Caenorhabditis elegans: one gene and its partner. The protein of the gene in region 2 interacts with the protein of the main gene of each other region in a pairwise test. Each region holds a gene or a part of one and is shown on either strand. Other genes may lie near its edges.

Evidence for each region. Proteins that work in one complex are often made in the same cells at the same time.
Region 1: the proteins of eri-1 (region 2) and unc-13 interact in a two-hybrid assay, tested with the Caenorhabditis elegans proteins (one study listed by BioGRID).

The regions. Positions count from the first base shown.
Region 1 is NC_003279.8:7,420,952-7,425,811, reverse strand, and holds the start of unc-13 (Phorbol ester/diacylglycerol-binding protein unc-13), read right to left. Parts: upstream 3,028-4,860; coding exon 2,955-3,027; intron 2,855-2,954; coding exon 2,825-2,854; intron 879-2,824; coding exon 779-878; intron 484-778; coding exon 373-483; intron 140-372; coding exon 9-139; intron 1-8.
Region 2 is NC_003282.8:415,095-421,776, forward strand, and holds eri-1 (3'-5' exonuclease eri-1), read right to left. Parts: upstream 4,865-6,682; 5' UTR 4,858-4,864; coding exon 4,523-4,857; intron 4,306-4,522; coding exon 4,185-4,305; intron 4,131-4,184; coding exon 4,029-4,130; intron 3,498-4,028; coding exon 3,425-3,497; intron 3,382-3,424; coding exon 3,258-3,381; intron 3,193-3,257; coding exon 3,057-3,192; intron 3,009-3,056; coding exon 2,811-3,008; intron 2,245-2,810; coding exon 2,077-2,244; coding exon of another isoform or gene 1,987-2,076; exon of another isoform or gene 1,774-1,986; intron 1,737-1,773; coding exon 1,627-1,736; intron 1,571-1,626; coding exon 1,462-1,570; intron 1,092-1,461; coding exon 1,001-1,091; intron 865-1,000; coding exon 683-864; 3' UTR 541-682; downstream 1-540. Other genes in the region: T07A9.12 (uncharacterized protein), read left to right, coding at 224-410; Phosphatidylinositol 3,4,5-trisphosphate 3-phosphatase and dual-specificity protein phosphatase daf-18, read right to left, coding at 5,332-5,451, 5,504-5,902, 6,470-6,682.

The sequences.
Region 1 (4,860 bases), on a different chromosome or scaffold from region 2:
CCACTCACCAAAAGGAAGCTCAAATCGAACATCAGTCAACAAGTTATGACCTGTTGGACCACGTGTTCCTACAGTTTGACCATTTCTTGTTTCAAGTTCATGATCCATTTGAAGCCATTGACCCGAACCTGCTGCATTGCTGAAAATCAATGGGGTATTTTTAGAAAACTGATACATTAATTTTAAAAGTTAGAAACCACTTCCGCTCAATTACGACAATTATAGGTGGCGAAAACTGAATAATTGCACTTTTCCATTGTAAATAAGAAACGTTCATATTTTTTCGTAAAATTGTATTAAAGTATGTTGCCATTTTAGTATTGGTTTTAGAGTGATTTTAACTGACGACTGGAAATTAAAAAAAAATTTTACCTGTATCTAATCTCCGAAAGTGGCATATAATGAACACCTATTAATTTGTCCCATAAAACGCCTTTGGCCCATAATTCGAGTACCATTCCGTCGTCAGGTCGATTTGTTTCACTGAAATAATTAATTAAATATGAGGTGATGTGGTTTAGCTGAAACCTTAATGTTTGATTAATTGGTTTTCAAATATAATTGTTGTTATTTTAATAAAATAATTGTAAGTGTAATGAAAAAAAAACAAGTAAAACGTTCCAAAACTAAAAAAAGGAGGCAAAATAACACCAATTTACGCATAATGGTATTTTTCCTTCCATAATATCAAATATTACTATTTTCAGCTGTTCTTTTTTTATAACATTTACAAAAATCGGTCTCCTTTACCGTATTTCACCTGTCAATGACAACTTACAAAATGAATTCCTGCTCCCAGCATGGTAAGTTGCCACGCACAGCCACAGTTGTTGATTTTACAGTCTGCAGCTTCACCGTCACGTACGAGTTGAATTCATCTGAGATCAGGCATTTAAATTGTTTTTCAAAAATTTAAAAACTGAAAAAAAACATGCTCTAATGATAGGGAGGGCGCGAAACGTTAATGCTTGTACAAAACCTCTTTAAAATTTATAGAAAATTTCAACTCAATCCAAGTTTTGATAATCAAAATTTTAAAAATCAAAACTTGATAAGACTTTGGTAAAACGAAGGTGAAAAGTTGTTGAGATTTCATTTCCAAAAAGAAATTTGAAAAAATCTAGAGAAGATTATAAATCTGCAAAATCTCTCCAATCCTAAATAAAATCGCAACTTCAAAATTTTTTTACTGCTGGACAACTTATTGGCTAATCCTAAAAATGGGACAGTTGAAAACAATTGGGTCCTAAAACAAGAGTTAGAATGTAACACGTTAACTATAAATATGCTCTCATGAAAATTACTGGGACGCTCAGTTAAACTTTTGTACCCAGGGGAACAATAAAAAAAGAAGCTATATTTTTTTTAGTTGAAAAGAAAAAAAAAAAGAGAACAACGTGAATTATAACTCAATTTCTGGCTCAAACTTGAGTGAAAGATCAAGAATCTTTAAAGTTCTTTCTCATGAGATTTATAGTAAATGTAAAAAGCTACTAAACATTGAACGATTTGTTAAATTTTTTGAACAAGCTGGTTGTATTCTTACTATTACTATATGCTCTTACTATATGCTTTAAAGATGGGGTACTTTTAGCGGGATTTTGTCAACTTACGTTTAGAATGTGGGGTTTTTCGAACTATATGTGTAACTTCAGACACATTCTTTACTACTAATACTTAAAAAAACGAAAACATTTGTTCTATATTCTCAAAATTAAATGAAATATCAAAAATTATTTCAAAAGCATTGGAAATATATGTTTCGCTTAATTTTTAATAATTTTTTAAAATTTTAATTCCATAATTTTTTCTTGAGCTTAACGTACATGATAAATAACAAAGTTTAAGTTTCATTTCATTTTTCTTGGTCTTTAAGCTTCCAGTCCACCGTATCTTGTTTCGTCTCCGGTGCCCTCATTCATTCGTCATTCCATTTCAAACGTTTTCCCCAGTGACTTACTCTCTTGTTTAGAGGTGCCCCCGGTGCTTCTATGTTTAATTTCCTGGCAACTTTTTTCCGGTTTCTTACTTTTTACTTACTCACTTGCTCACGAATGTAGTTAAACTTTTCCTGCCTCTTCAACGACTCTTTTCTCTTATCTTACTCTAAAAAGGTCCCAAAATTTGATTAAAATTTGCCAAAAAAAAGGGATGGGAAAATAGAAGAGGCGGGTGCATACACATACATTCAGAATACTAAGCACATCTTGTACGTGATGTTGAGGTATAAGTTGTGCATTATTTCGTGTGTCATCGAAGCATGAAAACGCGCGTTTCACGATGAGATTTATTATTCGGGAGGTCGCCCCGTGAAACTGGAATGACAGGTGTCACGAATGATGAATTTCTCAGGCGACAACTACAAATCGGAGCAACGCCACGCATGATCGTTTCTCGATTTGCAGAAAGGGATTTATTCAGATTTTTTAGTCTTTCACCCAAAGGAGGTGGACATTTCATTTAAAAAAAGTCAGATCCACATTTCAGACATCTGGCAAGTTAATAGTTTTTTGTTGAGATAAAGTGATGATTCATAAAGTGGAAGAGCCACTTGATTTTCAGTTAGCTCTGACTATGATTTTTTAAAAGTATTTGGAGCAGGAGCATCTTTTGGTTCTATGGTCATCGAGACTAATTGTAACAGTACTGGCACACTGTTACATTTTCAGATTTTTTTCAAAAAATTGGCAGAACTCTCAGAATATTTGTTACATTATCTACTTCAAGTTTCAGGGAATTTCCAGTATTTTTCAAACGAAATAAATTATTTTAAATGAAAACTGAACTATATATTTTAAGTTATAAAATCAATAGAAATACTCACCGACAGCTCCTTGAAGTCGTGCTTTTTTAACTGAAACAATCAATGTTAACATCTCGTCCATAACTGAGTGTCGATGGTCTCGTATATATGTATTCTCGAGACGGCAAGAAGAACACAAATAACAACTCACTGGTAATGCAGAGCAACCTCATGCTCATGCCATCTGAAAGTTGATCATCATTGTAATCTCCAACGTCATCCATCCCTTCTGATTGTTGAAACGTGGCATATTCTTGGGCGATGGTTGAAGAGGAAGCGGCCTCCCCAGATGGGTACGCGCCGCCGACCAGTTGTTCCAATGCCGAGAACAACTTGGTCTCCTGGAGAGTTTTTGGATCAGGATTTTCAGAATTTTAAGGTTTTAGCGAATCAATTAGAGATCAGGTTTAGGTTCAAGTTCCTGGTGCAGAGTTAAAGCTTGAGATCAAGTTTAACCTATAGACAAAAGTTAAACTGAAGGTCAGTGATGAGTGGTACAAATAATTGGATTAAGCAGAAGTAAGTAAGTTCAAAAGAACTAACAGCCTAATCAGACAGATCCAGAGATCTTTGAAATTTGTGTTTTGTAGTTTTTGTTCAAAGAAAGTTATAGATAGAACGTGTTCAAAGCCCCTTAATTTTATATAAAAATTAAATTAAAAACAAAACTCTCAATTCCTACATAACAATGAATAAAAAATTATATGCATGACATGATGAAAAGTCATAAAATACAGAAAAAATGAGCTCCTTTTTTTGCTAAGAAAATGCGTATAGCCTCGAGGTGCCTTCTGCATTATAATGAAAAATGCATCACTTTTTTCTATACTTTTTTTACTATGAAATACGAAAAACTGGGTTAAAAAGTAAATACAAGTTTAGAAAAACTATATTGTTTTACTTCTTTCTCTTGTCAAAGTTGTTTTTATTCTTTAAATGAGAAAATTTCAAGAATGTGTTAGTAACTCAGTGATTTTAACATTCAAAAGTGGAACATAGTGAAAATTTTTTCAAAAAAAAAAAAAAAAAAACGAAATTAAAAAAACGAAATTTTTGTTACCAGTCAAAAAAATTAAAGAGTTTGCAAAATTAAATTTTGGCAGTATAACATCATTTTGACTGAACATTTGAAAAATCTGAAACAATTTTTTAGGGTCTCATTTAAGCACTTTTATTTTTGATTTTGACAAAATCCTGACTGGTGCTACATTATTTTTACAATAAAAAAACAAAACTTCAACATGAACTTCTTATGGACAAAAAAGCTGTAAACTCTTTAATATAATTTTTGTCTAAAATTCCAAACCTAAACGAAAAAATCTTGATCAAACCACAAAAAAAGTTGATTAAGAAAGTCCAAAAAAAGAAACGAACGCAAAATGCGCGAAAAAGTAGCATTTTTTGGAGTATATACTAAAGAAACCAGTGAGATAGTGATTCAAACTAATAGACGCAGAGAACCGGAATAAGTATAACGGAGAGTGTGGAGACGGCGACTGGATGAGCTTGTGCTTTCTTCTTCTTCTGCTCCCGCTCTCTACCCCCTATTCGCCACTCCCCCCTTCGCAAAAATTGAGGACGGAGTAGCAGAAGACGTCGCGGAGCCAAGCTAGAGGAGCACGGAGCACTGAATTCTCGGAGAACCCAGAGATAGTTGCACCCACTACCACCACTCTTCCCTTCACCACAATTTCTCTTTTGGTGTCCCTCTCTCTCTCTTACTTTTTCACCAATTGGGTTTCAGAAATGGACAATAGGAGGACGTTTATATGTGTTTGTGTATGTGGACGGTTCTCACGCTCTAGTGCTCTCCATTCCAATTTCTAGACCTAGATGCCACTCAATGCTTCAAAACAGACTTGCTATGGGAATTCATATCAAATTCTGTGTTCCGATGAGGTTTTAAAATCATACGAAGAACCCATTTTCAAGGGTTGTGTTCCAGAAAAAGATATTTTTAATTATCAAGATGTTTTCTAGGAAATTAGATAGTTTCCAGCATGTTTTAAATATCGAAAATTAGTTCTGAAATTTTTATATTTGAAGAAGAAAATCTG
Region 2 (6,682 bases):
CTTGTGGTCTTTCCAAAAATGGTTTTACAACTCTGAAACTCTTATTAAAATGAAGCGGCCGCCGGAAAGATCGTGGCGAGACCAGTCCGTAGGAATACATAACTGCGAAATTATAGCCCGTTGAACGCAAATTACGTGTTCCTACTTGCGACAGACCAAATGCGAATCATCTGTGAAAACAGAAAATTCAAAATTGAACATGCAATATATATTTTTTTTTCAGAGTAATTCTCAACATATTCCGTCTCACATGCATCACGCTCTTCATATACTTCATCGTTGAAAAAATCAGTGGAGAGTTGGAGAAATCAGAAGTTGCAAATCGGAATACGTATGGGATGGTTTTTTTGCCAATGTGGCTTCTCCTGGCTTCGTGGGGATTTCAAATGTGTCGGGCAACAAATAACTAGTTTAACTGCTCATTCTTCTCATTTCCTATCATTTTCTGTACATTATTGTTGTTTTTTCCTATTTTCAACGGGTTTCCAAAAGAAATACAAATAAATACCATCTGAAACGTCATCCGTGTATAACCTAAATAAAACATGTGACAAATTTCATATAAACGCGATTTAAAGGAGAAAAAAGATTGGAGCGAAAAAAAATTGAGATCAAAAATGAAAATGAAATACTCGAATACTACAAAACCTGCAAAAATAATTAAATTCGTATACAAGAAAATCTAGAAACTAGATCGATTTGAAGACGATGCCAACGAATTTTTGGGCGGCGCATTCAACACGCGGTCCACGTCATCGTCGATATGAAGTGGTGATGATGACGTCACATGTTCTGACGTGGCATGTGGTGATGATGTGGATGACGATGGAAACTCGTGGAGACTTGGAGCATTTGAGAGGTTTTCTGAATTTTCACAATTATGTTTTTTAAGTGCTATTCAATAATTTAAACTTTGGGAGCAATTGAATTGACATTTTAATCAAACAGAATTTCAAGCTTTTTCTAATGCAATTTCCATATTGCAATTCCCTCGACGTACCTCTTTCAGAATCACTTCCACCATCTCGTTCCCATACAGCATCTAAATCGACTTCAGTGTGTAACGTAGAACTAACTGGAGGCATTCTTTCCTGAACGAAAAAATTAATTATTAAAACTCCAAATCGATTTGGTTTTTTGCTCGAATTTTATTAAAATTTGAAAACAAAATAAAAGTTCGGTTTTGTATTATACGAAAATCGAAAAGCTTAGTTATTCAGAATTTTTTTCTCTCGCGGATTTTTAAAATCCACACCACGATGAATCTGAAATTTATACCTACATTAATTTTTTTTTGAAAGAAATTTTCGATTATCCCGGAAAACATTGCAAATTTCTGATTTCAAAAGCAGAGTTTTCCGCTTTTTCGGAGAATTTTTGAATTTCGATTCATCGAATCGTGGCGTTGATTTTTAAAAACAAAATTGATATTTTTGAAGTGTTTTTTCTCAACATTCTCACCACAACTTCCAACATTTCAAATTCAGTTCCATAATCTTCCTCTTCACTTTCAACATCCACGTCATCATCCTCTATTATCGGTCTTGCAGTTTGATATGATTTTATTTCACTGAAAACGCCAGAAACTAGATTTTTTTGTTCAAAATTCCATCCAAAGTCCATTACCCAATTTTAAAAATTCCCCGCTCAGCAGCAATTTTCGCGAAATCTTCCGTCTGTTTATTCTCCAAATACTCTCGAATTGCCATTTTTTCCTGGAATGCCGCCTCGTCGTTCTGAAAATTTTGAGTTTTTGTGTGTATAAAACATGGAAACAGAAAATTATTTATTCGGGGCGAATCAAATACAACTATACCAGTTTCAATGAAAAATGTGGGCTTGGAAGAAACATAATTTTTAAACTAAAAATGTAAAATTTGACATGGAATTTTACTTTTGAAATAAAATTTGGAAATTCGTTGGCTAAGACACAAAATTGATAGGGAAAATGTTTACATCAATAAGTATACTTTTGCCAAAATTCGCCTAGCAAATCAAACACTTTGAATCTGTAAAACTAGCTGAAGTTTTTTCATCGAAAATTTCATAAATATCACAAGAATGTAGATGTTTCACCTTATCATCAGTCAAATCATCACATGAATCACAATCCAAATACTCTTCATTTATGAACTCTCGTCGTGTCACAGAGGACAGTTTCAGTGGTAAACGACGCATCCAAAGTTGAAAATCACGACGAGAGATATCGACTGATGTAAGATCCACGTTTGCAGCGTCTTCTAACTGAAAAATTTAATAACTTTTTAATTGAAATTTGTGATGAACTATTTCCTAATTTTCCTAACAAGAAGGAAAGGTTTCCATTTTATCGTCAGACTTCATTTCGATCTGGAATTGTTTCAGTGCCTGTTTTCACTACTTTGGAGGCCTGTAGAATTGCTCCAAATGCGTTTTTTTCAAACTTTAATGTTTTTTCAGAACGTTTAGAAGTAGGTGAACACTCTGGGAGATTTTTCAAAAATTTGTAATTTTTTGAAAAAAATCTGAAAGTTTCTTCACTCCACTTGATCCAAAAATGTTCAGATTTTCACAACAAAAAAAAGTCCAAAAATCTCCCAGAGTGTTCACCTACTTATAACCGTTCTGAAAAACATTGAACTTTGCAAAAAAACATTTAGAGCAATTCAACAGGTCTCCAAATTAGTGAAAAATGCACTGAAACAATTTCATATCGAAATTTTAAGGGTTGAGGGAAGAGCTTTTTTCAAAACATGGAATCACTTGTTGACACCCGAGACCGAATGGGAGAGTCAACCCATCGGGTGAAAACGACGTAGTCTGTTTCGAACCTCTCGCTCTTCATCCTTTCGCGCAGCACTCCGTTGATTCTCCTTATACGAGCATTTCTGATTAATTCTCAACTCAATTTTCAACTTCATCATTTGAATCGCAATCGCTGCAATATTCGTTGCATCATCCAATCCACTATGTTTATTTCCAACAAACGACAGATCCAGACGTTCTAACATGTTTTCAATTCCGGATTTCTGAAGAGAATTGAGGTTTTAATTAAAATTTGAACCTTAAAAACTTACTCCATTTCCCTTGATAAGTCCATTGAATTTCTCTTTGAATGTCTTTTTGATGTTGATAAAACTTCGGAACATATGGGGCATTCGAATATTCGATAAAAGGCATTGAAATTGCATGAATTTCCACATATCGTGAGGTCTGAATAGTTCGTTATGCACAACTTTGAAGTTTTAGTGAACAAAAAATCGTCTTCGATTCCTTACCCATCAGTAACAAATGCGAATCTGGAATTTTTCTGTCCGAGATTGAATTTTCGCATCCATGTGTACAGCCGTTGAAGAGCCTCTCGGAAATATGGAGCAGCATCGACTGTTTCTTGGGCAATTTCTACAACAGGGTTTACATTTTAAAAATGACATTAGTGTCTTACTGGTAAACTGCATACAAAATTCGCTGAGCTTCGGATTTCTGACAGGTCGGACATAGGTTCGAAACTCGCTGATCTGGAAATTAAATATGCTTATTTTGACGATGGATATTATAAAGTTATATATTTTTCGTTTTTTATTTATATTCCTAAAATAAATAAACAAAACAAAACAAAAAAAGCTTTCAGTTTAGTCAGTTTTTATAACTTGATAATACACCAAAGAACTTCCATCTGCCTTAAATTGAAAAATGGGAGAAGGATTTTTCTATTTTTTTCCAATATTTTCTTCACAAGCGAAACAAATTTTATAGCTAAATAAGAAACCCAAAAAAGACGAAAAATGTTGTATTTGAAACGTTTTTTGTTGAATACATTTTTATATTCCAGATTTCGATAGGATGACGAAACGTTTGTCACCTTTTCCCGGAAAAAATGATTTTCTTGCGGGAAAACACGAAAAAAAAAAATAAAATTCGAGCCGAAACCCCAGAGGAAAAATCCAAAATCAAGAATTTCAACTGAGAACTGTTCAATCCTTGTCCGCGGGGAGTACACGACATGCGTAATTCGACATATTCCATTTTCAAAGATGAAAAAATCCTACAATTTTCATTTCCCGAACGTCGATCAAAACTGCCGGTAATTCGATGATTTCGTGTGGGTAATCGTATATAATCTCGACGCACGTACACTCGAAATCAATTGCCTGAAATAATTAATAACTAAAGTATTTCTTTTCCAGAAATTCTGAAAATCATACAATTAAATAGTCAAAAAAGCGTGCAGTTTTATCGGCATTCGGCTCCATTTTTCGATTCAATAATGCATTTTCCTTTCGATAATATTGTGCAACCCGTTTTCGAAGAGTTTTCTTGTTTCCGCTGAAATTAGAGTTATAATTTAAGTTAATTTCGAAATTTTAGTAAGAAAATTACATTATTTCTTTTACGGATGACTATATTTAACGCAAAATGATTCAAAAAATGCTGTTTCTTTTTAACAAAACTATCAAAAATGAAGCAAAGCTATATCTTAAATGTACGAAATTGGGTTCTGTTAGGAAAATAAGAAGTTTGAATGAATTTAGCATAATTTTACCCTGTGGACACTTTAATCTTCATCAACGCTTGTTTTAGCTGTTCAGCAGTCATTGTATCCATTTGCCTTATCACTTTTTTCACGTATTCTGGTTCCACCATTGATTTTAAAGGCTCAACACGTTCGGAGGGTAAAAGTTGCTGTTCACGTGGAATATCGATTGATTTTTCAGATTCGTCGGTTCTGGTTTCAGCCGATTCCACTTCAACTGCTGTTTTTTCTGGTTCGTCATTCTGTTTTGCGTTACTTGCATCGAATTCTTGGCTGATTTTCAGCAAATCTCGTAGACTTTCCAGATATTTTTCGTCTTCTGGAGACGGCTCATCTGCGCTCATTTTTTAACTGAAATTTTAGAAAAACAATGTAAATTCGAATGCGCCTAGATTCTATGTATCGGAGAATATAATTTTTCTTTGGAATTATCACCAATTTCAATGTTACAAATCTAAATAATTAAACAAAAAATTGGTAAGTACAATTAATTTATGGGAGAATTGTGTTAAAGCCCATAGGATTAGTGATGACCCGCAATGTGAATTACAATTTCTGAGTAAGAAAACAGATGGAAGGGGATACATTCATAGGGAATTGCTATTTTTCACCCGGCAAAATATACATATATACGTGGAAAATCGGGAAGTTGAGAGCTATAATATGAATATACAAAATAATCGAACAATAGTTTGTTAAAAAACAAAACACTATACAGAAAGTGAATGATACTTTGAAGAGAAAACTTAAAACATTGAAATTATCTGAAAATTGGAGGGTCAGTAAGAAGAAAATCTTCTAAAAGTTTTGTTTTAGGTTTACAAATAAATAGCTTGATCAAAATTCGAATCCGAGAAGCTGTTTTCGGAAAAATGAGCAATTCTTGGGATTTTATCCTCTGGATGTAGCTCCGGGCACGTTTCACGACGCTCGATTTGCTGAAAAATTAACATTTTAATCACATAATAAAAAATAAAAAAGATTACTCACCACACGATGATTAGCTTCCAAATGTAGAAGCACATGATTGCGGGTCTTCTGAGTGTCTTTGCCAGTTTCTTTCACCATTTGTTCTCGAGTTTTCAGGGCTTTTGGATTTTTAGAAGAACCATTCGATTCTTCTACAACGTGCCCGAATCGCTCAAACGCTTCACCAAGAGTGTGTTCAAGATCGACTTCCTCTGCATTCGCTTGAACTCGTTGAAAATCCTCCGACTGCTCCAGTAACGCAATCTGTGCTTTAAAAACTTCGGCCTGTCCGGTTACATAATCAGCAAAGGAATTGTCCGATGGTACTTTGAATTGCTTCATAAACTCTTGTAATACACCTTGTCCATTAAGCAACTGGTCAACGAAGGCTTTTGCCTCTTGTTCAGCTATTTTCACTTCCTGAAAGTTAAATATTGAAAATACATTCAACATTTCCCGATAGTTTTTGATCTTACTAGGAGTTCTTATTTTTGGTGATCAGAGAGTTATGGGTCGAATGTTATATTTTCTGGAAGCTAATAAAACGAGCATATCGAATTCAAAATAAGAAATTTGCCCAAAGTGATGTTAAGGCAATATTTTCGACGTTGAAAGCGTATTTAAGCCAAAAAAGTCGTTGTTTTTGAAGCATGGACTTCAACGATACAAGAAAATAGTCACCTAACAGAATGTTAAGAACAATACGAAAATCATTATTTTAATAACGATAGCTAAATACTCAAAATATTTCTCTAAAAATCTGAATGAAAATTAATATAACTTACCACTGGCAACGAATGAATACGCAGGTTTTCAGCGAGGAAACATTATAATATTGATAATATAGAAATATAATTAGAAACTATAGCAATAGGAATAATTATTAGAAAAATTACACCTAGGAAGGTGAGTAGATTGAGGGGTCCCGCATATAATATAAAAAGTTCACTTTCAATTCCAAAATTTAAAATTTCAAACCAAATTCACCGAATCAGTGTGATAATCCTGACGCAGCATGTTACCGGCCGTATTTGGATGGTATGATTCATGGAATAGATGTTCGAGTGGTTCAAAACCAGCTATTGACTCTACGGTTTTGTGTTCACACGATTCTTCTTCCGGATTTTCGAAATCAACGCCGACGACTGGAAATCTTCGCACATTATCCGGTAGCCTCGCAGGAGGAAGTTCGTCTTCAGT